Linked DNA regions of Tribolium castaneum. The protein of the gene in region 7 binds, or shares a complex with, the protein of the main gene of each other region. Links are inferred from orthologs where the notes say so. Each region holds a gene or a part of one and is shown on either strand. Other genes may lie near its edges.

Evidence for each region.
Region 1: Nup98-96 (region 7) and Nup160 share a complex: the UniProt entries of both Drosophila melanogaster proteins name them as parts of the nuclear pore complex. The link is inferred for Tribolium castaneum from reciprocal best matches to the Drosophila melanogaster genes Nup98-96 and Nup160.
Region 2: Nup98-96 (region 7) and Nup214 share a complex: the UniProt entries of both Drosophila melanogaster proteins name them as parts of the nuclear pore complex. The link is inferred for Tribolium castaneum from reciprocal best matches to the Drosophila melanogaster genes Nup98-96 and Nup214.
Region 3: Nup98-96 (region 7) and E3 SUMO-protein ligase RanBP2 share a complex: the UniProt entries of both Drosophila melanogaster proteins name them as parts of the nuclear pore complex. The link is inferred for Tribolium castaneum from reciprocal best matches to the Drosophila melanogaster genes Nup98-96 and Nup358.
Region 4: Nup98-96 (region 7) and Nup75 share a complex: the UniProt entries of both Drosophila melanogaster proteins name them as parts of the nuclear pore complex. The link is inferred for Tribolium castaneum from reciprocal best matches to the Drosophila melanogaster genes Nup98-96 and Nup75.
Region 5: Nup98-96 (region 7) and Nup153 share a complex: the UniProt entries of both Drosophila melanogaster proteins name them as parts of the nuclear pore complex. The link is inferred for Tribolium castaneum from reciprocal best matches to the Drosophila melanogaster genes Nup98-96 and Nup153.
Region 6: Nup98-96 (region 7) and Nup107 share a complex: the UniProt entries of both Drosophila melanogaster proteins name them as parts of the nuclear pore complex. The link is inferred for Tribolium castaneum from reciprocal best matches to the Drosophila melanogaster genes Nup98-96 and Nup107.

Annotation. Positions count from the first base shown.
Region 1 is NC_087395.1:25,114,010-25,118,226, forward strand, and holds the start of Nup160 (nuclear pore complex protein Nup160 homolog), read right to left. Parts: upstream 2,801-4,217; 5' UTR 2,705-2,800; coding exon 2,620-2,704; intron 2,571-2,619; coding exon 2,148-2,570; intron 1,987-2,147; coding exon 1,797-1,986; intron 1,747-1,796; coding exon 1,401-1,746; intron 1,353-1,400; coding exon 1,101-1,352; intron 883-1,100; coding exon 519-882; intron 466-518; coding exon 293-465; intron 1-292. Other genes in the region: uncharacterized protein LOC655733, read right to left, coding at 2,930-3,122, 3,177-3,309, 3,357-3,704, 3,817-3,847. UniProt on the Drosophila melanogaster protein: Functions as a component of the nuclear pore complex (NPC). Involved in poly(A)+ RNA transport. Required for nuclear import of Mad. May play a role in double strand break DNA repair. Essential for nephrocyte development.
Region 2 is NC_087398.1:6,201,336-6,204,955, forward strand, and holds the end of Nup214 (nuclear pore complex protein Nup214), read right to left. Parts: coding exon 639-3,620; intron 591-638; coding exon 563-590; 3' UTR 501-562; downstream 1-500. Other genes in the region: ribosome biogenesis protein WDR12 homolog, read left to right, coding at 1-487. UniProt on the Drosophila melanogaster protein: Part of the nuclear pore complex. Serves as a docking site in the receptor-mediated import of substrates across the nuclear pore complex including emb, RanGAP and phosphorylated Mad. Protects mbo/Nup88 from proteasomal degradation at the nuclear pore.
Region 3 is NC_087394.1:28,910,596-28,914,796, reverse strand, and holds the start of E3 SUMO-protein ligase RanBP2, read right to left. Parts: upstream 2,801-4,201; 5' UTR 2,661-2,800; coding exon 2,586-2,660; intron 809-2,585; coding exon 583-808; intron 532-582; coding exon 1-531. Other genes in the region: Ars2 (serrate RNA effector molecule homolog), read left to right, coding at 3,261-3,382, 3,430-3,588, 3,939-4,142. UniProt on the Drosophila melanogaster protein: E3 SUMO-protein ligase. Component of the nuclear pore complex (NPC), a complex required for trafficking across the nuclear envelope.
Region 4 is NC_087399.1:876,580-880,879, forward strand, and holds Nup75 (nuclear pore complex protein Nup85), read left to right. Parts: upstream 1-1,500; 5' UTR 1,501-1,609; coding exon 1,610-1,633; exon of another isoform or gene 1,634-1,678; coding exon 1,679-2,120; exon of another isoform or gene 2,121-2,340; coding exon 2,341-2,594; exon of another isoform or gene 2,595-2,640; coding exon 2,641-2,763; exon of another isoform or gene 2,764-2,817; coding exon 2,818-3,036; exon of another isoform or gene 3,037-3,169; coding exon 3,170-3,285; exon of another isoform or gene 3,286-3,335; coding exon 3,336-3,872; exon of another isoform or gene 3,873-3,925; coding exon 3,926-4,130; 3' UTR 4,131-4,180; downstream 4,181-4,300. Other genes in the region: mRpS23 (small ribosomal subunit protein mS23), read left to right, coding at 1-20; uncharacterized protein LOC660898, read left to right, coding at 51-415, 636-879, 929-1,365, 1,411-1,498; oxidized purine nucleoside triphosphate hydrolase, read right to left, coding at 4,186-4,300. UniProt on the Drosophila melanogaster protein: Component of the nuclear pore complex (NPC) that seems to be required for NPC assembly and maintenance. Required for nuclear import of phosphorylated Mad via importin msk.
Region 5 is NC_087394.1:31,197,843-31,201,910, forward strand, and holds the start of Nup153 (nuclear pore complex protein Nup153), read right to left. Parts: upstream 2,801-4,068; 5' UTR 2,687-2,800; coding exon 2,618-2,686; intron 2,388-2,617; coding exon 1,838-2,387; intron 229-1,837; coding exon 1-228. UniProt on the Drosophila melanogaster protein: Component of the nuclear pore complex (NPC), a complex required for the trafficking across the nuclear envelope. Functions as a scaffolding element in the nuclear phase of the NPC.
Region 6 is NC_087395.1:26,509,934-26,514,101, reverse strand, and holds the start of Nup107 (nuclear pore complex protein Nup107), read right to left. Parts: upstream 2,801-4,168; 5' UTR 2,711-2,800; coding exon 1,847-2,710; intron 1,797-1,846; coding exon 1,635-1,796; intron 1,395-1,634; coding exon 934-1,394; intron 658-933; coding exon 1-657. Other genes in the region: sodium-coupled monocarboxylate transporter 1, read right to left, coding at 4,117-4,168. UniProt on the Drosophila melanogaster protein: Plays a role in nuclear pore complex (NPC) assembly and maintenance. Required for nuclear import of Mad. Mediates the association between the nuclear pore complex and a subset of active chromatin regions adjacent to lamin-associated domains.
Region 7 is NC_087403.1:3,514,342-3,518,342, forward strand, and holds the start of Nup98-96 (nuclear pore complex protein Nup98-Nup96), read right to left. Parts: upstream 2,801-4,001; 5' UTR 2,609-2,800; coding exon 2,545-2,608; intron 2,495-2,544; coding exon 2,366-2,494; intron 625-2,365; coding exon 1-624. Other genes in the region: uncharacterized protein LOC656938, read right to left, coding at 2,879-2,946, 3,000-3,113, 3,157-3,500, 3,547-3,677, 3,727-3,855, 3,908-4,001. UniProt on the Drosophila melanogaster protein: Part of the nuclear pore complex (NPC). Required for MAD import as part of the Nup107-160 complex and required for nuclear export of Moe probably via its association with Rae1. Plays a role in nuclear mRNA export.

The DNA.
Region 1 (4,217 bases), on a different chromosome or scaffold from region 7:
ACAAATCGGGCGGTTTTTGCTTAACTATTTACGCGAGATCGAAAAAATACGCGAAAGCTCAAAAACTACAATAAATTGCAGTGCTTTAAATAATTTTAAAATTCTTCAAGAGTTTTCCGTAAATGATTTGAGCAGATATCAACAGAAGCAGCTGTCATTAAAATTTTCTGTGATATAAATATAAGAATGGTTCGCCAGGCGCCACGGTAAAAGTACCAGATAATAAATTGTAAAACGTTTTTTAGGGCTCAAAAGCCCCAGAATATTTTTTTAACATAAAAAAAGTACGAACCTCGGTGTCCATCTCGCGCTGGATCTGCTCAAGGAGAGCCCCCATGACGACATCAGGCGACTTCAGCAGTGCCAACTCTCGTTCGAACGTGTACGCGAAAATCTCACTCATCTGCGAATCCAAATAATTAATGACCTTGAACAAACTGATCACGTCGTCTGTGATATCAACATCTGCAAAAAATGAACCAATCACAATTGATTAATTAACTGTGCGGTTTAATTACTCTCAGACAAGAGGAAATATTTGGTGAATTGGTCCCTAAACATGTGGTCGCTTTCGTAGATGAAATGTTCAAAAATATCGAGAGGTCGCAAAAACGAAATCATGGATTTTTTCAAAAGTACGGCCCCGGAGGAGTTTGGAAGAACAAGGAGGCCTAAAGGTTTAAGTCCAGCGACGTGGTATTGGACGCAACAGGAGTAGAATTGTTGCCAGCAGTAGCTGGCGGTTTCGAGATAATCTTCGTCGCTGACGACGGTTTCCTTCAGCTCGTTTTGGACCTCGTCTTCGACGGCCATGCAGATCTGCTGCTTGAGATGGGCCGCCGAGAGGTTCAAGTCGCTGATGACGGCCGAGCGTTTGTAAATCTATAATAAGCAGTTGGTGTGACAAAAAACGCGCAATAATTTTTATGTATATTTTTTAAATAAAAGGTTTGAAAAGCAACAATTTGTTATTTTGTCGGGTCGCCAGGAGTCACATTAATTGTGCCTCAACCAAATAAGAAACTAAGAGGTTTAGAGAAAAACAAATGGCACATTTTCGAAAAATACAGTAAAAAAATCAGCTTGACTTGAAAACTTACGTTCAAAGCCTTGCTGATTATATGCAAGGGGAACCTGCCCGGGTGGAAGATGTGCTGGAGGTAGCTCTGCCTGGGATCCGTCTCCCCGTCGATGCTCAACGGTTGGCTGGCGTCTGGCACATTTTCCAGAACCACGGGAATCCAGTGACTCCCCGCCTGGTTCGAGGCCGAATACACCTCACATTGGCCCTCTTTTCCGCGCCAAACCGACCAAATCCGACTTGTCGAGATCGTAAAATCGATCAAATCGGTCTAAAACCCCAAACTTACCCCCTATCACTTATCCCACCTACGACTCACCTGAGCCAAATCAAGTATATTAAGCCTCACTAGCCGAACCTGCGAGCCACTGAGCATCGGCTTGAACACATGCAACTGACTCTTGGCTGCGAAACTCATGAAAATACCCAACAGACACTCAGAATCAAACCCATCGACGGCTTTCCGCAGGATGTGGTTCTGAGCGCCTTGCAGCTGGTTTCTGGCGCCGGTTTCGGCCATGACGTCGATCACTGAGACACATTCGGCCTTTGAGCACGACCAGAATTTCAAATGACCGTTGCGGCAAAGTGTCAAAGCGAAAGTTTCAAGACCGAAAGTATGTAAAATGAGGCTGACGGTAGTGTCGCCTTCTTTGTCTTTTTGGCTGCAAAAAAACCGTCAGTTTTCCGGGCCGGAAAAAATGAAGGGTTGTACCGCAGCTTGTCGGCGAGACCTGAGAGAAAGCGGGGCACGATTGACTCGCTTTTTAGCTCAGCTGAGTCGATTTTGCCCTCGGGGGACTGTCTCAGAAGGAGGATCTCGCCGGAGTGGTAGGCCAACACGAAAATTGCTTCCTCCTCAGCGAGGGTCAGGGAAGAGGCGGCCAGATATGGCAGCTGAGAACCTTTAAATAAGGGTTCATCTAGTCATGAGAAGTCCAATATTTTAAATAATCATGCAAACGTATCTAATTTTGCCATTTGGCAAACCTATTTAAAAAAAATTATGATTTGCTCGTTACGACACTCGTCTCCGGCTCGTGACTTAAAAAATTACAAGACCTACTCGAATTGGTGAAAAAGTGGAATGTGGCGGGATCCCTCGCCTCGTTGGCCGTAGCTTCGCTGAACACCGACGGCGCCGCCAGATCTGGGTGAACCCCCGCGACATGGTCCTGCCGGTGGTACTTATCCGGATGCGGAAACACCAACCTATGGACGCTGCACACCGTGGGCACCAGAACCACCACATTATCGTACGTCTCATGGATGGAAACCCCGTCCAAAATCGGGGTGTCCACAAATTTGTATCTGATGCGATTTCCGGCGAGATTTATATCGAGACTGTGCTCCACGAGCTCCAGGACATCGTGGCTAATCCTCCAGTAGATAAACCGATTCCTGGTGTGGTGTCTGGTCGAGTCGCGGTAACAAAACCCGTTGGCCCTTTCCGCGACTTTGATATCTTGAAGCGTCCCTTGTGTCCCCCCTGTTACATAACCTCAGTTTTACGTAATCGGCGATTTTTGTGATATTACCCGTGTTGAGGGTGATTTCGCGCCAGGGATCGGACACCGTCTGGTCGGGGATCACCTCCCGGTACCCCAACGCGATTTCTTGCATGGTTTTAGCCCGTTTTAACGGTTTTTTGTGCAAAAGTTAGGTTAGGTTTACGGAAACAAAAAATCAAGGTCGGCGAGTGGCGGTTAGATAATTTTCAAACTCAGGTTAACTCGCCACCAGAGGGCGCGGGGTCAGAAAATAAGACAAAATTCTACTTATTTATTTATTTATCGTACATTTATAACAAAAATAACATTTATAATACGTGGAGGGATAATATAATAACTATGAGAATAGCTTGGTTGAAGTGAATGATGCTAGGAGGAGTAGAACGCTGCTGAAGCCAATGGAAATAGCTGAGTTACAGGGTTTGCGAATTGCTTGGAAAAATCGGTTGTTTAACGACTCAAAAGCGGCGAAATCGGGACAACTACGGGCTATCGCCTCACTGAAGCACTTCTTGGACGCTTTTAAGTCACTAGAATCAGAAGAAAGATGAAAAAGTTGGGTTTGTAATCATGGGGGCACCTACAGGCACAGGTCGTCTTTCCGGACCACGTCGCTAAACCGAGCGAATAGTTTAGTAAAGCAGTTTCCAACTTGTTGCCCCTCTTGGTTGAGTTTCAAGTTTTGGCGGCAATCTGCCCCTTGGGTACTGAAGAAATCTGTATTTTCCTTGATAAAAAATAGTTTTCAAAATTTTAAATCTTACTTTCGATGGTTCTTTGGGAACACACAAAGTCGAGAAATGAGGTGAAGCTTTCAACCATGAACTTGGGCAAATACTTCTCGTCTTTGGGCAAACACGGTTTGACATCATGGGCAAGCTGGGCGGCTAGACGGGCCAGTGTGGGCCTTTCGTCGTTGCAGAACTGCTCCTTACCATTGGGCAATAAACTCGCAGCGTACGAAAGATAATCGCCAAATTGCCCCAAATGGGTCTTTATATCATCGTAAGCCGAAGCGTCTGTGCTATAAACCCGACACCTATCATAGATAAACCTGGAGATTTTGTCAGAGGAGTTCCCCTGCTGGCCCGCCACACTCGCCAAAACAAGCCCTGAAAAGTTTCGGTCAAATATTGCGTAATTTCGAGTGGGCTTGGGTCAAAACAAACGAACCCATGTGTCACATTTTCCAAGCCAACCATGACCTACAAACAAAAATCTCACCTGCAACAACGAGGAAACTTGTAATTTTCATGACCAATCCTGGAAATTGACCTTTTGAAGTGTGCACTGCGGATTATTTATACAGACGCTAGAACGTCACGCGACCTTCTATTTCTCTTCAAACCAACATTTTAATGAAAAGGAACAAGTGCAATATGTGCAGAAAAATATAAACTCGCGGAACCCATTTTGTTGACGCGATGAATTGGGGGCTGCATAAAAATGACCGATTCGTCATCGGTCAACGAAAATCCGCGCACTTTTCGAGGAAATTCACTTATGTTATGACTCAATTTGCTACAAATTCTTAATCGATAAACGAATGAGAAAAATGCGCGTTTAACGCGAGCAACCGCTGACGCGTGCTTTTTACAAAAATAAAACAATTAAAAAAATCTTGT
Region 2 (3,620 bases), on a different chromosome or scaffold from region 7:
AGAAACCATAACTTCGACTTCCTGGATTGACAACCATGTAATTTGCACTGTGTCAATGGACCATACGATTAAATTTTGGGATGCTGAGTTGTGTGGTATCAAGAATGAAATAGTTGGCCAGAAGGCATTTTTGGATTCTTCTTGGTCTTCCCTATCTAACACATTATTAGCATGTTCAGCTGATAGACATATTCGGTTGTACGACCCAAGGTCTTCAGAGGGTTCAGTGGTCAAGACTACTTTCACCTCACATACGCTATGGGTCAGTTCAATTGAATGGTCAAAATACGATGAACACCTTTTTATGTCGGGAGGATACGATTCTGGTGTCAAATTGTGGGATTCCAGAAGCCCTAAAGCCCCACTTTATAATTTAGAGGGACACCAAGGGCAAGTCCTAGCTGTAGATTGGTCCAATAACAAGTATCTGGTCTCTGGAGGGTGCGACAATAGTGTACACATTTTCAGAAATAATTATGTGTTTTAAGTGAAAAATAAAATTAATTTTAAAAAAATTTATTAGTTTCAGCTTACAAAATTTAACGTAAAACATTTTCCTTCATTAACGCCAACTGGAGAATGAGGAGCTCCTACAAAAAAAAATGTACTATGCCATTTATCAGTTTAAAAATTCTTACCCAGAGAACGGCGCACTCTGCGCTGGGGCGTTGGCAGCTTGCTGTGCCAAATTCCCAAACCCTACTGTTGGTTGATTGGCTAAATTACCAAAAGCTGTGTTCTGGGTACTAGCAGCTGCCCCAAACCCGGGGCTTGAGGACCCAAACACCTTTGAAGTATTCCCAAAAGCCGGTGGGCTGCCAAACGCCGGCGCTCCTCCAAAACTAGGCGAACTCCCGAAACTGGGCGATCCCCCGAAAACGGGAGCTGCCCCAAATCCCGGTTTTTGGAAGCTCTGACCTGCCCCAAACCCGGTTTGTCCCACAGTTCCACTCCCACCACTGAAGGGCCCCGCAGGTTGCTGACCGAAACTGCTACCCCCGAAGAAGGACGACTGTTGGCCGAAGGAAGATTGGTTCCCGAAACCGGTACCAAAACTCTGGGACGTGTTACTGAAGAGCGATCCACCACTGGAACCGAAAACTGAGCCACTTGACGACACTGGAGAGGCTCCGAAAACGCTCTTATCGCCCCCGAAGGGGTTCGCAGGTGCACCGAAACCCGAACTTGCAGTCGTTGAAACATTGAGACTTCCGAAACCGAACGTTCCGGAACTGGTATTGGTGCCGAAAGTACCGGACTGAGTAGTGGCAGGGGCGAAGACATTCGACGAACCGAAAATAGAGGGAGTCGTAGATGCAGGTGCCCCAAAAAGTGAGGGGGCAGTGGACGCAGGTGCTCCGAATAAAGATCCACTAGTACCGAAAGTACCTCCGCTTGTAGTCGTTGCCCCAAAAATGCTCCCAGAGCTCGTAGTTGGTGCATTTCCAAAGACGGAACCACCCGTTTGGCCAAAAGCGGGTGCTGAACCCCCGAAAACGTTCGTACTACCTGACGAACCAAAAACAGAACCTTGACCAAAAGCGCTTGTATTTTTGCTCCCATCGAAGGGCTGGCTTTGGCCGAACGTTGAAGAAGTTGTGGTACCACCAAATATCGACGGCTGTGTGCTTCCGAATATTGACGGTTGAGTCGCATTTGGTTTTGCATTAAATAGGGAAGGCTTTTGGGCGGCGTCTCCAAAAAGACCGAACCCTTGAGATTGAGTTGTCGTTGTAGGACTGGCAAAAGTCGACTGAGTGGTACCAACAGGAGTTCCAAAAACTGGGGTAGTGGGAGAGCCGAAAATTGACGATTGTGTCGTAGCTGCAGCCCCAAATGAACTAGTAGACAAAGGGGTAGCACCACCAAAAATCTGAGTGGTAGGTGTGGTAGCGCCAAAAACAGTCGCTGGTGAAGTACTTGACGAAACATTGCCAAAAATTGACGGCTTTGATACATTACTATCGGTACTTGCAACAGTACCAAAGACAGAAGCTGTAGTGGAGGATGATGGCAGGGCTCCGAAGATGGATGGTTTCGAAACGTTTGAATCCGTGGTTGCAACAGCCCCAAAAACACTTGATGCAGTTGTGCTGCTAAATATTGACGGTTTCGAGGCGCTAACTTCGGTACCACCAAAGAGTGGTTTAGTTGAAAGAGCACCACCGAAAAACCCAGTTGTGGGCGGAGCTGAAGATATGGTTGGAGACTGAGTAGTACTACTAACAATAGAGCCGAAAATTGATGAAGTTGTCGCTGGCGAAGAGAAAATTGATGAAGTTGTTGCTGGCGAAGAGAAAATTGATGACGTTGTTGCTGGCGAAGAGAAAATTGTTGAAGTTGTTGCTGGCGAAGCGAAAATTGATGGAGTTGTTGCTGGCGTTGAGAAAATACTAGTTGAAGATGGGACTGTTGTAACAACAGGAGCTGTAACACCGGTAGTTGTAACAGCTGTAGTAACAACAGTGGCCGCACTGGTGGCGATTTTCGGTGTTGTAGTTACGGCAGGAACAGCCGGTGAGGGAAAAATAGATGATTTAAGTGCCCCCAATGAAAACGGTGAGGACTGAGTTGATGGAGTGCCACTGGTAGTACTAACTGAATTTGGAGCTGTTACACCAAAAGTGGGTTGGATTGAGACTGGACTCGAGACAGCTTGCGTTGTTTTAGGACTGGTTGTTACAGAAGTCGTAGGGAAAATTGAACGTTGGGTACTGCTAGCAACGGGGGAAACGGCAGAAACCACCACATTTGGAGTACTTGTTGCAGAAGTAACTACTGGCTTTGTAGAAAACGTAAAGGTTTTCGATGTCGCAGCTTCGGTCACTTTTTGTGTTGCTGCACCGAAAATACTTGAAGTATTAGTAGCGCCACCGAACGAAAACTGGGTGGAGGTTGGTGCTGTGGTGGTAGCAATACCAAATGACGGAGTAGAAGTTTTCGTAAAAATCGTACTTTCCGCGGTAGTACTAACACTCGTGGATAGATTAAAAACAGAAATAGACGTACTGGGTTTGGTAGTCGCTGCACTACTTGTTAAAATGGGCGCCGCACTAGTAGTTTGTAAACTGAACGAAAATGTAGTTTTAGGCAAAGATGTGGCAAAGAGGTTTGTCCCCACCTTTGGGGTACTGCTAGTAACTGGTTGGGAAGACAAATTAACAAACGATTTAGGTGCTTGCATGGTTGCAGTACTAGTCACTGCCACAAAACTGGGACTTGTTTTAATAATAGACGCTGTCACGGCTGTAGTTGCAGCCATGAAGGTGGGTTTGTAAGTATTTGCTGATGCAGAAACCGAAGTTGAGACAAAAGCCGAATTTGGAGACCCAGCAATCACGTTTTTAGTCAAAGGCGTGAAAGTTTTCTCGGGCAAATTTGTGAAATTTTTAGCCTCGAATTTAAGGGCTAAATTTTGTAAACCTTCGATTGGAGTTGCCGTGGAGTCGAATTTGAGCACAGTGGGTTTGGGAGTTGACTGCGCAAAATCGAGAACCCGAGGTGCAACTGAAGTTTTTTCGGGAAGCCGACTAAGTTGTTTTGGCGGAGTTTGGATTACGGAACTGGCCAATTGAGGCTTCACGAATGAAATATGTGGATATTCTCTTTTTTGGAGAAAA
Region 3 (4,201 bases), on a different chromosome or scaffold from region 7:
TGTTGAGAGCAGCTTTTGTCAAAGTTTGGTCAAAGTTAAATATTGCATTGATGTATTCGGTTGTAGTTTTGATATTTTCGCTGGTTTCGGACAAAGTCAATGCGGCCAATTTGTCCAGAACGGAGACCGACAAAAACCAAAACTCCCAACCGAGCGAGTTAGGCAACGAAACCGTTCTTTGGTACTTGACCAAGACCTCGGCTACGGCTTCGTACCAAGTGACATTGCAAAAAATCGCCAAGTCTTTGGCTTCAATATCCGCAGCATGCTTGTACGCCTCTTTCACCAAATGATGTTGCAGGAGATGTTTTAACAGACGCACCCGCAACTTGACGTCAGTCGGCCGCGTTTCTAACTCCTTCAAAATCAGATTGGAGACATCACGAGGATCGTCATTTTCCGACGTGAGGATGCGCTGTTTCAGGTTGAAGATGGCAGGATTGTGAGGGTCGAAAGACTGGGCCATTTCGCAAAAGTACCGAGCACCGGAATGGTCCATTTCCACGTCGTCGGAGGCTAAGAGTTCGCAAACTGGAACGCAAACGTTGCCGAAAAATTAGAAAATAAAAAGCCTTCACGTACCTTTCAGGACGAGATTATTTTGTTTGGAGTCAAGCCGAAGGCTGGTCGTGTAGGCTTGAAGAGCGGCTTCTTTACGGCCCAGTGCTTCCAGGCATTTGCCCAGCAAGCAATGAGCTTCTGCAGAATTTGGTCTTGCACTGAGATACGTCGAGACGTAACGACGAGCGTCCTCGAAACGCTCGATTTTGAAATACTGCTTAGCGAAAGACAGGCAACGAAGATTGCGCTGTAATAAAACGAAATTTACTATTTTACGTATCTTTATTAGTGAAATATTACAGTTAATCAGCTATCACAAATCAAGTCTAGTGTTTTATCAGCTTATCGCACTGCAGACAAAATATGAGGATAATATAAGAAGGCCAATTCAACCCTAACTGTAACTCCAACATTGATTTTTTTTGTCCACCGCTGCAAAAATAATCCTTTGATACTAAAATTAGGGATTAAACCGATAGCTGAGTTCGACCACAATACCCCACAGAGTGGGTGCAATTATGCCCTTGGTAGGCCAGGTAATAGGGACTCATTAAGGAGACAATGCAATGAGACAGTAATTTCTTAGAAATATACCCACCAGAGTCAGTTTGAAAATTAAAAGGAATTGAAAGAAGAATCAATATAAAGCAAAAGTTATTAGAATTTTAAAATCGTAGTGTCGGTATAACTCAATAAAGTTACGAGTGTGCGAGTACGATTATAATATTATATTTTTCCGAAAAGTTTTTGAAGAAATTGTAAAAAACGCTAGTGGCAAATTATATCCGAAGTTTCCTCAAGAAGACAAAATAGTACAGTTTTCTGGTTTCCACAAACATAGACTCAACCATATCGCGGCAAATAATCAGTAACTCAGTAAAAAAAAAAGCTGTTAAAGATTTGTGTAAAAAACATTCTAAAATAATACATTAGGATGATGACTTAAGAGAAAATGATTCCAGAAAATCAGAAGAAATATTTGGCAGCAACATTACAACTAAAAACCAAAAAGCACGAAGATTTTGAATCTTGAGTCGATGAACAAACAAAACAATTGTCTTTAGTTGTTTTAGAAATTTATTTGTTCAGTATAAACACTTTTCATGGTGTTACCTTCGAATTTTGTACTGATTTTTTTGTCAAATGTTCACCGTTCATAGCTTTAGGAATGGGCACTACGTACCATTAGTATTTGATTTGTTACTAAATAAAACTAAAAAATAATATGCAACTTTGTTAAAAGATGTTCATATATAATTTATCTCTTAATTCTAGAAAAATTGTTATTGATTTTGAGTTAGGTATTCATAAAGCTTGTGAAATAACATGTCCAAATGCAAAAATTATGGATTGTAGCTCAAAGCTGTTTAAAAAAAATCCAGACATTACACTTAGTTAAAGAATACAGAGACAAATTCTGTAATAAGTAACGGCGAGTTTTTACATACATACACAATTACACATACAAATTTAAAGTTAAAAATGAAATGTTGGAGCACTTGGAGCTATCATTAACTACAAAAAAAAATTGTGTACTAGCTGTTAGCTGTTCACTGACTCTTGAACCCTCAAGCCGCCACGGTGTAAGAGGTGTAACAAAATTAATAATAATTACAAAATATAATAATTAATAACTGTGTTAATGAGTATTTCAAATGATAGAAGGGTTTAGCCAATTTATTGATTAGGCATGACCTTGCCGGCTCAGCTGGATAACAAAAAAGGCCAACGATTCGCCAACACTGCCAAAAATCTTGGCAAATTGGACCTAACACGAAGCGTAATTTAAGAATTTTTATAATCTAAAAATAATTTCCCGCCAAAGGTTCCCTGCATGTGACATTGATGCGTGAGACATTCTTCCAATAATAAATGATACGCAATTTTTAAAATTAGGACAGGTGGAATCGATAAGGGTGATGGTTTTTTGGGCCCTTTCTGATAAGCAAACGCGTTTTCAAAACGCGAAAAAATGAGAAATTCTCGACCGGCGTAACGGAATGACAGCGATTTCAAAACCTTACCTCTGTCTCGTTATTTATCTTCTTCAAGCATTCTTCAACGTGTTTATCGACATCGGCTTTCCTTGTGGGAAACATTTTGAAAAGCGTCCACTCAAACGTACATTTAAACGAGCAATTTCACAAATTTTAGAAAACGTTTATAAAACCGTTACAACATGAGATTTCACAACGCACGAACGGACGTCCACCATCTTACAACTGACGTCAGTAATCAAAGCTAGGGATTTTGCTTTTTTGGAGGGACCGGTATCCAAATAAAAAAATTAAAAATGCAAATTACGGGCTGTTGTAGCTGTTCTTACAGCTTATCAACTCAGTTACATGACTGTAGTAATTGAAACAAAAATAAATAATCCCACAATGAGCAGTTTTTTGCGTTTAAATGTTGCGATAATGCGGCGTCACCAGTCATACCACCATAGGTTGGTGGCTGCAAAACCCCCACGGCGTCTTTGACGTGTCGGCCATAATTTTGTATCAACTTCCTCAAGAGAAATCCGAATTTTCGCCGGAAAATCGCCAAAAGTATTATTTTTAGAACAGAAAGTGAGTCTTCTATCGAACCCACCTAGACCAGTAACCCACCACCCGCAGTTAGCACCCCCTCATTTTGACTACTTACACCCTCATGGTGCTCAGTGCTAGTGCTCACTTTTCCCGACTTAATTGCAGGAAATGGCTGATAGTGACGATGAATACGACCGCAAACGCCGCGATAAGTTCAGAGGTGAACGCGCCGAAGCCACTTACAGGGGGGCCGAACGGGTTGCCAGACCTAGGGACGACTGGGCCGAACGGTAAGAGTCAATACGAGGCTTATTCGGTCCTAGTGTTGAAATTATAGTGACTCTTGGTCACGACCTAGGCCTCGGGAGTACCGCCCGGGGGTGAGAGACAGGGGATACTCGCCGAGTCTGGACCCAGCCCCCAAGAGGCTGCGCCACGATTACTATGCTGATAGCTACTACAACCATTACTCGCCCTATCACCAAAGCTCGCACAGGTAGTTGCTGGTTTTTGCTAAAATGCATGGAAAAAATGGTGCACCAGCGTTCAAGGTTTATTAAAAAAATTATGATGCTCGTAATTAAAAACTGCTTTAGCTGTTTACATAATATCAGTTAAGAAATCTAGAATAGGGAATTGCTAATGACTTTTGCCCCATTGTGTGTTTTATTTTATCGCCTTGCATGGTTTGCATTTTTATAGAAAATACCGTTCATTGTTTCCTCAAACTGTATCTGAATGTTTATCGTAATTAGTCGCATGTTTTAATTGTTATTTTAGATTTCGTTTTGTTTCGGTTTTAATTTAAAATAACAGTTACTAACGCGTGATCTTCTATTTTCAAAGAGCTGGTAATTTCTTCAGAGAACCTCCGCCATCGTCTCAGTCTGAGGGTCAGCAGCCGCCAATGATGTCCTTTAAGGCGTTTCTGGCCACCCAGGACGATAACATTTCCGATAGTGAAGCTATCGAAAAATACAATGACTACAAATTGGAGTTCCAGCGACAGCAACTTAACGAATTTTTTGTTGCCCATAAAGACGACGAATGGTGTGTATTACTAGCTTATTACCGAATTGCAAAAAAGTAAATTGAGGGAAAATATTGCC
Region 4 (4,300 bases), on a different chromosome or scaffold from region 7:
TTGATATATTTAAATCGTAGTATTTTTTTGTTAAAATCTAGTCTTAATAAATGTTTTTTGTGACACTTTGTTTTATTTTACGTCAAATTAAAATGGGTAAAAAATTGAGTCGTCCACGAGGTAGCGAACAAAGCACTTATTCCCATATTTTTTATACCGGGAGTATCGAAACTATTCCACCATCAATCACCTATCCTTCGATATGTACTTCCCCCTCGTTTCATTTGTCTGAAAAGCCTTCGGTGTCGAAGTGTGACAGTGAATTGATTCATTACGGCGAACTGCAGAGTATGTACATCAAGTCTCAGACTTTCACAGCTGATCATTTGGCCCCCTTGACCATCAGAACCTCACAGTTAGTGCTGTCGCTTCTGAAGAGGCATTTGGGGCAAATTGTTAGCGACATCCACGCAGGGTACTGTTTTATTTAATTTAATTTTTTTGCCTATTCAAAAAATTCATAACTCAAAAACTAAAATTCGTAGAACAAAACGGTTTATTCCAGTGAATTCAGCGACTCATTTTACGTATCATATGTTTTTTTTACAACACTAGCTTACTCCAGAACGTATTTAAACACTTATTTGAATTTGAAAAATGGTGGATGCGCCGGGTTATTTTCTATTTTTTGGCAGGACATTGAAAATGCCTGATAAAGTGGTAGAAAAGTTTGGGGCTGCAAGTGCCCGGAACCCGAATCAGCAAACAGACACATATACTATCCAAAGACGAATGATCACTCATTTCGTCTCGTTACTTCACGTTCATGAAATGGTTTTAACTTATCTCAAACAGAGACGCATCGAACAAGCGCTCGATTTAATCAAACAAATTGCAGTTAGCCACGCACTTAAGGGAATCACAGTGACTGAATTTCGGGTAAGTCCCGATAATTCTCTAACTTGTTTTGGCAAAATACGACTTGCAGTTAGTGGACTGGTTTATTGTCAATTATTTGATAAAAAATAAAGTAAGCACTGACGAGAACATAAACCACTTGATGCTTTACTTAAGCACCCTTTCAAATTACATTGTGCGATATTTCGAAAGTCAAAGTGTTCGCCATACGATGCTCCGGGACATGACTAGTGTGAAAGTAAACGATCGGAGCAACAAAGCAAGGGAAAACTACCGTTTAATGAAACAGTGGACCTCCAGAATTGAACATTCCAGAGGCCAAATTAAGGATCTAATTGACAAGCTCCTCGCAGATCAAGCCCGCATGCAGGAAGCCAGAGAGGCAGAAATTAGGAGCATTGACACTCAAACGCTCAAAGAAAAAGACTTCATTATGCGATTTTTCGTACGCAAGAAACCGACAGAATCGCGCTCAACGTCACACTCGCACCAGGAGAAGGCCTCAACGTGAGTATCACCCCAATATAACAAATTCAAAATACCCGCCCACAGGATTGACGGCGAAGTTAAATCCCTACCGTTACCGTTCTCGCTACCAACCCAAAACGAAAGTAACCCTAGTAACCGAACAGATTTCTAAATTACCGACCCGGCTAACCGCTCTCCTCAAACAAAATTCGAAAAAAATACGGTTTTTTTGAATGAAAAGGCGCAAAATTTCGTGTTATTTAACGCTTCCCGACCCGTATTAATGGACAATACCGCCAAAACTTTCGTAAGCAGCGATCAATTTTTGAGGTTAGGTCATAATAACTTGTAGGTTATTCCAAATGAGTTATGCCGACGTGCTGGAGTGGCGGCTTCGTGGCTTTCCGTCAACGAATTCGGTGTTTTCGGCCACCAGAAAACACCAAAAGTTGATAAACCGAGTCACTTTGCCCCCTCGGACGCCTCTGTGTTTCAGCTGCGCCCCGACATTATTCTCTTCAAACCAATTTTACGCAAATTGGTAAATGAGGCCAACGGGACGTTTCTAACCCTTCAAGCCCTTGTAGCCACTGAGGGCGACCACAAGGCCGAATTATTGAAACTTAGCCGGCAGTACAGGTCCATAATAAGGGCCTGTTTGGAGAATTTGCAAGACGAGGTGATGCGAGCCGATGGCGATTATCGCGAAGAATTGCAAAATTACATTACGATTTTTTACTCAGTTGAGTGTATTTGGCACTTGTGTGAAATCTTATTTGTTGATGCGGTCCCAGGTGGGTTAGTGACACGGATATCTAAAAGCTAGGATGCGAAACGACGTACAAATAAAACGTCCTGAACTCGGTAGTTTTATCGTTAACTATATTTAAAAAAAATTCCGGACTTTTTTAGGTTCAGAAAATCCGGTAATTTCGTACATCGTTTCCTCCTAAGTTATAGACCTCTGTAGTGACACAAAATTTGGGGATTTTTGCCAAACAGTTGGGGTTTTAGGCAACATTGTTTTGCCCCACTTACTGGACTGGATTCGGTTTCATTTTCCGAAATATGACCGAAATGCGGCAAGTATGTTGGCTGGGGATTTGGGTGGTTTGGAGTCACACCCTGACTATTGGGAAACTGTCATTGGGTCACTATTACAAGGGCGGGTCAAGGTCGTTAGGGCCCTACTTAAATTACACTCAGAAGCTGAGTCACAACCTTTCAGAATTGTGGATCAGTGTCTGAGAGCAATGCCGGTTTATAACGTAAGTAGGCTGGGAGAAATTGACAGGTGTTCATGGCCGACTTTAGATGTTTAGTGGGACTTCAATCGCTGAATTTAATCTACAATGGAATCATTGGGTCGTGGATGTTCAATCGAAAATTGATGCGAAAATGTTTATTTCTTGTTATAATCTCAATTTGATTATGAAGGTTTTGTTTTAAGTGTGTTTGAGTTGGTAGTTTTCTTTATAAGATTTTTTGTAGCTTACGGTTGGTAACGAAATTGCATGGGGGGAAATACAGCAGTATTGCGAGACGTGGTATGAAATGTTAGCCGCGTGGTTATTTTTTACCCAACCTACTGTTAAATCGTTTGAGTTGGGACAGTTTGCCAAACAGTGTATCACGAAAATGTCCATAGGGAATAGAATTAAGCATTTGGATAGGATGTTGTTGGCAGCAATGGAGTTTGATATTTTACAGGTAATATGGCGCCACCTCTGTTAAGTTATTAAATAAAACTGAGACTTTTGAATAATCCTGTATTTTTCGGCTATACTTTTAGTTTTACACTTTTTTGCAAATGTACACATAAATTCTAACATTTCTTTGCCAGGTGATTAAAGAAATCCAAAATATGACAGACAGTGGCTGGTTTGTGAGCCACTTAACCGACCTACTTTACCATTCAGGCCGTCTAAGCGACACAACTATCGAAACTATTGAAAATTTGTGAGTCCCCGATTTTTTTTAAACCGTTTATTTTACAATTATTATTTCAGCCACCCTGATAAATTGCGCGAGTCATTTTTAATCGATTATGGCTCGCTTTTAATGGGCCATAAGTCACTATGGCAGGTCGGTTTAAGCTACTTGGACCACTGTCCCAGCGATGGCCCTGAAGTCACAAAATTACTACTTGCAAGACTGCCTCTAAATTCCGAAATGCGGGCTGAGAAAATTGTGAGAGAGGCTCTGAACCGGAATTTAACCGAAACGGCACAAAGTATTTGTAAAGTGCAAGGAATGGCTTGTAAAAACCGGGGGCGTCTGGGACACGCCCTCGCCTGGGCCCTCAAATCACAAGACGGCACTTTTGTGTCGTTTTTATCGAACAAATTTCTGCGAGAGTATGCCGAAAGTGGCGATTTGAACAGTATTGATCTTTTGGATAATCTCGGATCGTGTATTTTGGCAAGCGATAGGTTGATGTTTTTAGGCAAATATTACGAATTCCAGAAGTTATATCAAGCGAACGAGTACAAAGAAGCCGCCAATTTGCTCGTTTCGTTACTTGAGTCGAAAATAATACCAAACTTGTAAGGGGAAAACACTTAAAATTGCGGTTTTTTATCTAAAGATTATCTTGTAGTTTCTGGAGTATTCTATTAACTGACGCAATACCGCTACTTGAGTGCGAAAAAATGGTTTTTTCCTCAACTGATACCTACATCATTATGCAGTGTTTGGAAGAGCAGGAAAAAACCAAAGACTTGAAAGACAAACTTCCGATCTTGAGACTGTCAGCGACCCGGAATTTAGCACGAGCTTTGGTACACGAAGCCCAATTAAAATGATGATTTTTTTAACAATTTTTTATTAAATAAATACTTTACGTAAACAATAATACTTTTAATTGGCCACTTTAAGTGCACTCGCCAAGTCCTCAAATTCCTCAATTTTCGTATCAGTGATTGTGTCAGGGTCACTGTAAGTCACTCTGGCCGCAAAAAATTTCTCTTTTAAC
Region 5 (4,068 bases), on a different chromosome or scaffold from region 7:
TTTCTTCGCTAATTTTACCTAACCTACGTCCGTATGCAGAGGCGCCGCCATAAATTGTATTGCCGCTATAGAAAGGTGAGCTCAATATTCTCTTGGTAGACAATGTTCTGTCAATAAAGTTCGGCGAGCCGAAAGTCGATGCGTTAAACGATGGCCGTCTTGAACTCAAAGAAGTGTTCATGTTGGGGCTTCTTTCCGAGAATAAAGTACGTCCGCTTGATTCGTTTGCTAAAAAACGAATTGATTGTTTCAATTTTTTAATTAATAAGCCTAAAGAAAACACAAAACCGATAATATTCATAAAAACACATGATTTATAAGGAGTGTGGCACAATTTAAATAACTATTTGAAGTATAATGTCCATACTTTTGCCAACTCTTGAATATTTTTTTATAAAAAGTACTCAAAATTGTATATTTTCAATCCTGAAAATAGCAAAAATAAGCAAAAATACTCCAAGTCTGCATTTGAAGCCGGAATAATACTCATGGATTTTTTCATTGTATTATAATTTCCATTATCAAGCTCGACCGGTTCAAATTTTGGCAAAGATGATTCATCAAGAATTAAATCATAGACTTAGAACATGACTAAGATTTTATTTCCCCTTTTCCGAGTACACAATATGAAAAGCAAATTATGTAAAGACTGGTGTTTCGCTAAACTGTATTTTTTTTAATAACAAAAAATAAAAAAATCACGTTTCCTCTTCCCCATTTTTTTAAAACAATCTTTACTCGACCTACTGTCGGCAACAAACGATTATTTTTTACGTTTTCATTAATTCCAGTGAAAAAATATCAGACTCAGTGAAAAACTGAATAGACGCGATTTGTGACATATTGTCCAGATTTAAACTATTTAAATCTTCTTGTTAAAGCAATTTTATTATAGAACCTGATATTCTAATAAGTGTATAATTTTTTATAACGCTAATTTTTGAAATTCACCCAAGAAGGTAGAAGAAAGAGTTTTTTAGGTTTCTGAATTTAATTATAAAAAGGACAACAAAGTGCTCATAATAGTGAATTAATAAATGGTAAAAATAGATAAAAGTCAAGACAAGCTCAAAAATGACGAGCCGGAATTTCAAGAATTTAAAAAAAAAGGTAAAAATGTAAAACAAAATTTATTAACAATACGAGAACAGTGACTAATTTACTTGTTGCTCGTCACGTAGGTATAATGAAAGTGATGACATTTTTGTGTGTACAGCGATGCTGTACTTTAACCTAGAGGTCAAATATTATAAAAGAAAACAAAACAAGGAAATTACTAGTTCCATTAATAACCATAACAAGTTTATTATATCGGTACGTATTTTAACCTTATTTCATACAATTATCAATATCTCATTAGAAGCCTATAAACAGATCAGATAGTTTATTTTACCTTTATTGCATAAATACAATTTTTACTAGACTTTGACCTCATACCCAAACAACTTATGTTCGTCATAAGAGTCTTGCAGATACTGGCAATGATATAAATGTAAGAGGTCTTTTACAGACTTTAGCTAACAGCAATGAGCGTAAACATTTTTCTTACTTTGGTAACTGGAGACCTGCTTTTTGTATACAAAAGCATGAAAGTTGCTGATAAGAGAAAAACTTTAATTTAATCATTTGTGGTATTATCAGTTTCTTATGGTTTTAAACGGATCGTATTTATGAGTTTTGATAATTTGTAATTTCATATTGTGCATTTTTCTGGCATGAGTCACAATACTAAAAGTATAATAAAGTATTCCTGAGACAATTATGTACCCAACGGTTGCCAAAGTTAAGAAAACACTGCAAAAAAACTAAAAACAAACATTATGTAACGTAAACTTACATGAAGTAAACAAGGACCTAGTTTTAGGAGTGACTTTTTCACATGTTTCCTTGTGAGATATTTCTGCACTTTTGGGTTGATTAAGCAATTTGGGTGCCGAAGAATAGCCACTAGTTGATTCTTCACTGTCAGAGTCATTCTCACCGTTAACAATTTCTTGATTTTCGAACGAATTGGTAGAGACCGTATTTGTGCTAGCAGAACGGTGTCTGTCGAACAATTTGCGGGATTTAACCCCCGACGGCCCCGCCACCGGTTCAGGAAACTTCCCAAACACTTTCGACGAAACATTGTTAACATTATTGGAAGCATTATGCACAGTCACTGGCGATTCAAATATATGTGCACTGTAATTGTTGTGTTCCACTTCAGACGGTAGTTTCACACGTTTGCTTGGTGGCTGGAAAACGTAGGAGGCATCAAAGTCGTCGTCGTCGTCGTCGTCGTCGTCCTCCCGCCTCTTGACCGACTTGGACGCCGAGTCTTTGCCGAACCACTTGGACAAGGGGGTGCTGTTGAAAAGCCCCGACACGAACTTGCCCACGAACGACTGCAAGACAAATTCAAAATAGGACCTGTTAGCTACCTTACACGTCAAGGTTAAATAAATAAATGCGAGAAACTAAGGTTAAAAACGCGTGCTGGTGGCACTGCCAGGTTGCATGGAGGTGCTGGGGCGACTTTTGGGCAGTGTAAAGACACTATTTCGTGAGAAACTTTTATAGCTATATTTAGAGGTGAGAACGCGCGAATATGTGCAAAGAACGCATTTTATCAAACCTTATCCAATCCTGCATCTTTCGAGTTGTCTGGACTGTTTTCGGCACCTTCATTATTATTATTTGCCATAATTACAATTGTTCTTAGTCTATTTTACACAAATAAAGTAATTTTGGAAAATCACACATTTCTATGACAACTTTCACCACACGAGGATCCAATATGGCGGACTCCAAGTGTGAAGTTAGCCGCTTTTTGCGCGCGCTCCCCCTCGAAGAACACGAAGTTGGCGCTTTAGGAACAAAGCTCTCCCGCTGATTTTTCAAAATTTTGAATTCAATCATTAAATTAATTTTGTTAATTTACTTGAAGTTTTTGAACAAAATAACAACAAATATTTAAAATTTTAATAAAAATGTTTATTACCCTTAAAAATACAACCATATTTTTTGCCAAATATCTTTTATAAAAAATTACAAATTTTTAAAAAATCAAAAAAATACATGCAATTTGATTTAATGTGAATAACTTTTACAGTTTTCAAACGTATAAATAGTACCTCAAAAAAATTTAATATTGAAATTTTTTCAAGGCGGCAACTGCCAAAACACAAGTGTTTAGTGCGGTTGCCTATCACAAATATTTATTAATAAATTCATTATCAAATTTTACTGCTATTTTTATACCTGCCGCGATAAAAAACATATTTCTTCCTTTAACATACTATTATTAAGATAATGTTAAATACTGTTTAATACACAAAAAAAAATTAACGTGTCGGCAATATTTAAAATTAACAATTCAATTTTTTTTAAATCTCAAGTAAAATTTTCTTGAAATCGAAAATTCATCAAGCTGGCAGGTTTAGGTACATTTCAATAGTCGTATTTGTGTTGTTTCTCACTATGAAATAAAAAATGCATTTTTTAATTTTGTGGCAAATTTATTGAAGAAAAAAATCAGAAAATAAAAGGTGGCTGCAGTACTTCCTACTGAGAGTTTGATTTACTGTATTCACTATAGTGAGTAGAGTAACAATTAACAACGAAATTGTTTATCTAAACAATCACATCAATAGAAATTCCAAATTATCCTTGCCTTTTTATGTAATGAACTTTCCCAAAAAATCAATGATACGTACGTATTTAAACACAGAAAATAATGTCTGCAATAATTGTAAAAATATTAGACATTCATTCTTGGCAATTCATTCCCTGTATTTCCCGGACATTATTAGTAAATCCATATGAAGCAAGTTCCTTCAATGTCTATAGATTAGTTTATATAACATGAATATTCAGCATTTTACAATATATGTTGCTGATGATTTAAAGTGGATTAGGGATCTTCGTTGACCGAGTTTTTACATGGTCAGTCATATGTGACAGGAGACAGAAATTTACTTCAGCATGAAAACATACCAAAATTAGGTATACCATTTTCGTAACCAATATTTTTTAAACTAATAATAATGTTAATGGTTTTATCAAAAAAATATAACATGAGCGCAA
Region 6 (4,168 bases), on a different chromosome or scaffold from region 7:
TGCGATGTCGTCAATTTCCACCGTTCCGCTTCGGCATTAAACTGCGAGACTTTATGATTATGAGCAACTTTTTCAGTAAATTGTGCATTTTCGGGCAGTTCAGGTGGTGGCATCGGCTTATTCCTATACTGTCTAAACCACTCGTTAAACGCCTCATGTGCATCCAAATACGCTTTATAACTCAAATAATTCTTAACAATCTGATGAATCTGCTCTTCGCTGCGTATCTTCTCTATAGAATCGTAAGGAATTTTATTGATTGCCAATTGGGCTGCTTCTAATTTGCCCAAAATCAGAAATTTGAAAATAATAGAATTGGTTTGAGCCAATGCTTCGGCTCGTTGCTCCTCGTAAAACATCAGCCAATCAATAGCGGAGATTTTGAGTTCGTCGATTTCGGTGATTTTACCTTGGAGATTACCGGGAAGTTCGGATTCAGACGGTCGGCTTGTTATAATTTCGACGATTTGTTGCGTTATAGCAAATACGTCCAAACTGAAATCTTCAGCGTAAGTAAGGGCGTTTTTGCGTTGCTCAGTCGAAAGCAGTTTTTCGCAGTGTTTGGCGTAAAGTTGGATTTGTTTGGATTTTCCCAGCTTGCTCACGTAGAAGGCCACAAGCTGGGTTTCGTTCATTTCGCTCAAACGCTCGATATATCTAATTAAACAAATGATATTAAAACACAAGCAACGCAGCGGTGAGTAGCAAACACTTTATGTTTTTTTATAGAAGCTCGAAGTCAAATAAAACAAAAAATAATACCGTAGCTATAAAAAAGTGGTAAAAATATTAAAAGCAATAATTTAGTTCTGACGAGATTATGGTCAACATTAAGAACATAAAATACACTAGACACAAATTTTTTTATAGTCACCATACCGGGAGACTAAAGCGCCCGGCCTTAAGTCGAGTTATACAACCAAGAAAACTTACGTTTCGACGATTTTTTCACACGTTTTTCTATGAGTGGAGTCTCCGACGCTTTCAAAAAACAAAACTAAGTGAGCATAAAATCGAAGAGATTGTGTCGTAACACTTAGATCTTCACTCCACTGATCTAGGAGGCGTATCAGTGTGGGAATTTCGTCTAAAATGACAAGTTTCTGAATTACATGATCAATTTCATGCGCTTCTTTTGCAATGTCAATATTTTTCGAGGCTTCCAAAATTGTAAAAATTTCACTTAATGATTTCTTTTGTTCCCAATATTCTTCAGGTAGTGGTATGTAGTTTTTAATGATTGAGTCGCGAATTTCCGATTCAACACGAATATCGACCATGGTTCGCATGTAGGCCCACAGGTGGTCCTCCCATGTGGTACAAACGGGCAAAATGCCCTCCAAGAAACCACAAAGACTACCAATGGCGGCTTTTTCATAAATGTTCAAGTTTGACTGAAATTTTTTAGTAGTTTTTTCAAATTTATAAAACAGCCTCCTTGATAGATACGAAACTTCGTCTTCAGTCCTAAATTTGGTTAATTATTTTCCAGAAATTTTAAATAAATAAACATAAAATAAATACATGTTTTACAACTGCCAAAGTGACATCGGTTTATCTAGTAACAATGGTATCAAAAAAAAAGATAGCGAAGTTCCCGAACTGTCAAAGAGGCTGTGGAACGAAAAACTTACCCTATGACAATAATCTAATGCGCAAGATTTCCACAAATCCCGCCTTTGGTTCCCTTCTACGTCTTTATACTCTTCAAGACTTGTTTCCAGGTTGGGATTATGAAAAAGCTTCCAGCCTTCTAACATCGCAGCGCGCCATGGATAACCACTGTTGTAACATAACTGAAATTTAATTATTGAATAAATAATAAAAGGCTGAAAACAGCACAAACTTCCTGGGCGCCCTCAAGGTTGCCGCACCTAATTTCCATAAAAATTCTCTGACATAGTTTTTTGTCATTGTCGTAATCCAAGTGGTGCAGCGATAAGCGCTGAAACTGTGGCGCATCTGGATGTATGTTCTTGATAATATCCACATTACTCCCAATTGCAATAGCATCAGGTGCTAGCAATTGATGCAAAGTGTGTTCCCATCCATACGTCCAGTCTGAGTGCATTAAAATGGGGTCCCCCTTCTCCAGAGCGTTCCTCTCGAGCCAATCGATCACCAACTGGCTTTCCCTAACCAAATTCTCTCGTTTGAACAGTTCGCACACACAGTTCTTTTCACTGCTCCCGAAATCCTCCTCAAACCCTTCCTTACTGTGGTTCTGGGCCTGGATCCGATCCTGGTACAGGACATACAGCAGTCTCCAATTATTCCGCTCATTTTCGAGCCATTTCTCTTCGGCTAATTCACTAGTGGCCACTTTGGCTTTCAGTGACTTAACCACCGCCAAAGCGTCACTACAACACCTCGCCAAGTCTTCGGCCACGTCCAGGATATCAAGGCCTCCGGTGGACCCCTGCAGGATATCCGCAAACTCTGTATATAAATTATTAACAGTGTTTTTCCATGGAGTTCCTGCTTGGATCACCGACCCGGTGACCGTTTTGTCATCATCGACAAATAAAGACAAGGTGTTTTGATAAACACTTCCATATTCCAGGCCGGTTAAGTCTTCGGGGTTTATTGTAAAGCTGAGGTTAGGTTTTTCACGCTTTGGAGTTGCGGTCGAGACCTTAAATAGCCCTTTTGTGGGGGTCTGGAGAGCGTCTTCGAGAAGACGCACCGACCGTTCCAAATCATTATCCATTTTTAATAAAAAACACACACAAAAAGCCGTTGCATAACCTCAAAAAACAAGTCTAGCGTTGCCTCAGAGCGTTGCAAAGTCCCTAGATTCAGGTTGGTAACAGTTTTTCTTTTCCTCGATCGTCATTTGTTTCAAATTATCGCGTCTGTTTGTGTTTATCGTGTTTTTTGTTCAAATTGAAGGAAAATTGGTGAAAAAAGTGTTGAATTACGTAACTTAATTAAGTTCAATTTATAAATTGTGGTAGGAAACACCGGTTTTTTTCAAAAATTTGTAAATCATGTGTGAATACTGAATTTGGAAAAATGATGTTACTTAGTGTTAAGTGTAATTTTTACATAATTTGGTGATTCCAGTGACAAAGTAAGGTAAGGTGCATGTTTTTTTAACAAAATTTAACATTATAGCACATTATTGGTACTATTTTCGGAAATTCAGTGAATTTGGTTGGCAACACTTTTTCCATTATCGCGTCTCTCGTGTGTGCCCGGATCTTTTTTGTCTACATTTATGAAAAATTTGTGAAAAAGTTACCTTAATTACGTTTTTTTTATAAATTGTGGAAAAAAAACACCAGTTTTTCCCCGGATATTCCTAAATTCAGTTACTGTGACAATCAGGATTTGGAAGAATGAAGTGTTAAGTGTTAGTTTAGAAGTTCAGTGTTAATTTGGAAGTTTCAAGCACAAAGTAAGGTAACTTGCATGTTTTTCAACAAAATATTAGATTATTGCACATTATTGTGGGCATTATTTTTGGAAATTGGTGAAAAAGCAAGTTTTCTTGAAAACTTGTAAAAAACATCACTTTCCAAATATTTGTCAATTCATTTGTGGTTAGGAAAAGTACATTTTAAGCACAAAGTGAGGTAAATTGTACGCTTTTCAACAAAAATTAGATTACTGCACATTAGTGGTATGTATTTGTATTTTCGGAAATTCATTGACTTAAGATTCTGGAAATATTGGGCGACTTTTCAGTACTTGGAGCGTTTTTTTTTGTCAATAACTTCGGTTGTAGGCATTTAAAGGAGGCAAAAATCCACAAAATTTTTTTTATTTATATTATATTTTCGTTGGTAGCTTAAACTCTTTGAACAAACACTACGCTTATTATTAATTAAATATTATTGTACTAAAATGTTGTAATAAATACTCGTTGTTAGCACTAGTCTAAGCTTACAAAAGAAAATAAATATTTCAACACGTACGCGTATCAAGTTGTACAATCTTATTCAATAATAACAATGTAATAAGGTATAAAAATAGTTAAGTAGTCTTTGCATAATTCAACAATCGAACACTTGTATCTTATCAGCTAGAGATCACAGATGTTGCCAAATAAAAGGCACTAAAAACACGAGTCCGTGTCCATTTCTCACATCCATCTCTAGGAAGAAAGAAAAATCATAATTTGGTTCTGTACACTTCCATTTGTACGTCTTGAGTGAAAGCGGGA
Region 7 (4,001 bases):
CAAAACTTGGGGTGCTAGTGGTAGCGCCGAAAGTGTTCGGTTTTCCGAACAAAGTCGGAGTGCTTGTCGTGTTGGTCGATCCGAAAGCTGGTGTTGTTTGTCCGAAAGCCGGCGCCTGGCCGAATGCTTGCGGTTGTTGTCCGAAGGCGGGTTTGTTATCAGTTTGCCCGAAAAGCGAGGGCGTTGTAGTGGTCGAAGCCCCGAAAGGGGTGCTTCCGAAACCGGCCTGTTGTTGGGGTCCTTTCCGGTTAACCGAATAGTCCTCAAATCGCAACTCTTCCAGCGATTTATTCTCGTATTCTTTCATGCACGTGATGCAGTGGTGTTTGGTACTTATCGACTGGGTTACCCCGTTTTTTTGCATGGTGTCGGTCCCCGTAACCGGATTGAATTTAATAACAGTGCCGGTGGTCTGGTTTCCGAAAGCGTTACTTCCGAATAACATTGTATTAGTGTTTGATTGGAAAAGAGAGGTTCCGGGTTGTTGTTGCGGCTGTTGGCCGAATAATCCGGGCTGAGGAGGGGCCGAGCCGAATCCGAATGATTTATTTTGAGTGAATGCATTTGAGCCACCGAATAAACCGCTAGTTGATGGTTGTGGTTGCTGGCCAAAGGGATTTGTGCCTACAGACAGATTTATTAAGAAACTGAATGATGAAATATCGGACTATTGCCCATTCTGTGCTTGGGAAAAAAAAAGGATATGGATAGGGATCACACATCATTCCGTTAAAACCATCATTGAATATCTCACTTACCAGACGACGACTTACAAGACATCCTAGTTAAACTAGCTAAACAATAAAATAAAATAACCAAATAAATACAAATCATAGGAGTGTCTCCCGATATATGAGACAAGAAGTATACTTACAATGGGCGCTCATTGTCTCATCAGCTAAACCTATGAATCTTTTAAATTAATTGTTTCAATCGACTTAGCTTACCAAACTCTGGATCGGAAATATTGGCCATAGAATAAGTCATAGAACTGGTTGTTGTACCTATCAAATATTTAAAAAAATTTTGGCCGAAAATAACAAACCGTTACTTACAAACACATGAAGCAACTGAAATACCGCCACCACCAACTTAAAAGAAAATAAAATCGAAAAGCTCAACTGTCGCAATACTTACTACTTTGAAGATATTGGGTCAATTGTCGGTTAAGAGGTCTACCATCTTGGCCTATTGAAAATTACTTAATATATACGTAATACCTTAAATTAACTTACGTGTAATAGTAAACGGGCTTAATGGCTGTGGAACTCTCTGTTCTCCTAAATAAAAAAAAATATAGAAACAATTCCAACTTAACAATAATTTCGATTTACCAGAGGGTCCCGGCTCAGCAGCGCGAGGTGAATGAAATTCGGGATACGGTGGTCTGGGAGAAATCTCACCTAAAAATTCCAGAAAATAATAAAGATAAATTTATGACAAAAAAACTCACCAGCACCAGCGTATCTCAAAATGGCTGGATCAACCAAGCCCGGGCTATCTAAAATCAAGTAAAATGCCTTATAACTTTGTTTTTTATTTTATTAGTTGAACTCTTGAATTCTGTGAGAATAATAAACGTCTGCGAGTTCTAGTTCTAATGTGTACAATCTCCAGGAAAAAGATACTATTAATAGTATAAAAGTATAAAGGTTACATTATTTTTTACGTGGAATGTAACTATGTTATATATAAGGTGTTTAGTTTGTACTTGGAGTAGATCTATGAATTCATGAAAACGGCATAGAAATATTAGTCAGGTCACCCTGTATACAAAAAATAAAAGACCTAGAGAGTATCGTCTTTTTACAAGAGTTGTATGGGATATTCCGTCATAACTTCATAAGGAAACGTTATCTGTTTTATTTTTACATATTTATTTATTTTTTTAAAAAAAGAATGTACATTTTGAAAAGACAAGGAAACGTAAACGAGGCTGTAGTAGAACAATATTACTCACCACCACCCTGCACCTCAAATCTACGTATAGCTTCGCGATTATCTGTAAAAAATTCATGAAAAATATTGAAAGTAACAAAAAAATAGAAACTCACAGGCGGCCGTCAGGTAGTTCTCCTCATCTGGAGACAGCGGGAGAGGCGGCTCAACTGTCACAATCATAATAAAATTAATACAAATTCGAGACGCTTTATTATCGCAATGCTGATCTGTCAAAAATCACTCTCTCATTCGCGCAAACCAACTCAATTCTCATCATACGGGTTAGTAAAATACAAATTAGTGTATTTGGTGTTAGTAAACAAAAAGGGAACGTGTTGCACAATAATGGGCAATCATGGGGGCAAGTGTGAGGTTATACTACTTCTGTTTCCTACTAACTTTAACAACTGTTGGGTGTACGTACCGAAGCTGGTTTGGCTTGTGGGCGCCGATGCGAAGGACGAGGTGCTCGCAGACTGGAAGATGTTCGAGGGCTGCATTGATGAAAACATAGAGGTGTTGGGGGCAGGTTGTCCGAAAGTCGAAGTGGACGCTAGAAAACCAACCACGGTAACAACCACCGATTCAGTTCGGCAAACTTACCCCCAAAAGTTGAATTCGGTGGGTTATTCATGAATGCTGGCTTATTCATAAAGTTGGGATACATATTTACGACCACAATTGGTTAGGCATCCATAGAAATCACAGGAGATGCAGCGATTGATTTTCATTAACACCACATTAAAACACGACGGTTTTTACTAATATTTTGCCACAAAAACACAACAGACGGTTAAACTACCGCAAATTTTATTTACGACAACCATCTTGTTTTTATTGTAAAAAGCGGTGGCGCCACCTGCGAGTGGCGCGAAATTAAATTCAAACTGCGCAGCTATCATTTATTAAACCAAACCAATTAATACAATTTTTTATTTTACAACGTATATTGCTTAAAATCGTGTAAGCAGTTCGTGAAAACGTCTTCCACAGTTGAGGGTCCCGCTACAAAATTGTATTCATTATCCAATTATGTAACAAATTAACAAAAAACTCACAAAAAGGATACCATTCATCGCACGAATTTCTCGTTTCCTTTCTGGCACTCGCAACGGCGTTGCGTATCGCCAACGGGACTGAACACGCCAAACATAGCGGTGGTTCCCCGATAGCTACAATTTTCCACAGTTATGATTCCATATTCAAGCTATTTACCTTTGGAATTGAGAACTCCAACGCCATTGGGCGTATCGCCCGGAAATTTGATCCTAAAATCAACTGGAACGTCCCTCGCGCCTGGTGGTTTATAATTCCAAGTGCGATTGGTCAACAACTCGCCGCTTTCGCTAAAAATAATCTTCTCCGACGTGAAATAACCCATGCCCATGACAAACGCGCCCTCGACTTGCCCCATATCGATACCAGCGTTCATGCTAGTACCGGCATCTTCGAGTAAATCAACCCTTTGCACGATATATTGCCCGGTTAAAACGTCCAGCTCTATTTCGGAGGAGCAAACGCCGTAAATCGCGTAATTTTTCAGTTCGGAAGGGCTACCCCTAAAAACATTATTCGGAAATTAATTACTTAACGAATCACTTATACATTGAAGAGGCCGACAAGTTAACATATTGATTGTAACATTCTTGCACAATTTCCTCCCAACTGGCATTTTCGAGCTGTTTTTTGACCGGTTCCATGCGTTCTAACAGGATATCGCACGCTTTAATCACACCCTGTGATAGATATTTGAGAAAAACAAAAAAAACAAGAGTGAGGTAATACGTGACAAACTGTTTCCGATGTTAAGCTACCACCGACCATGTGGGCATTAGGCGCGATCAAATTATTGCTAGGCTTGACCGAAATTTTTTCGACTGGAATTTTCAACTTGTAGGCACACACTTGAATGACCTTCAATTACACGTGTACGATTAGTTCAAATTTAAACAAAGTCACTGGTCACCTTAGTGTTGATACCTTGCCCCATCTCGACTCCCCCGTGCGCGATTGCCACACTCCCGTCCGATTTATAGACGGAAACAACGACCTCATAGTTG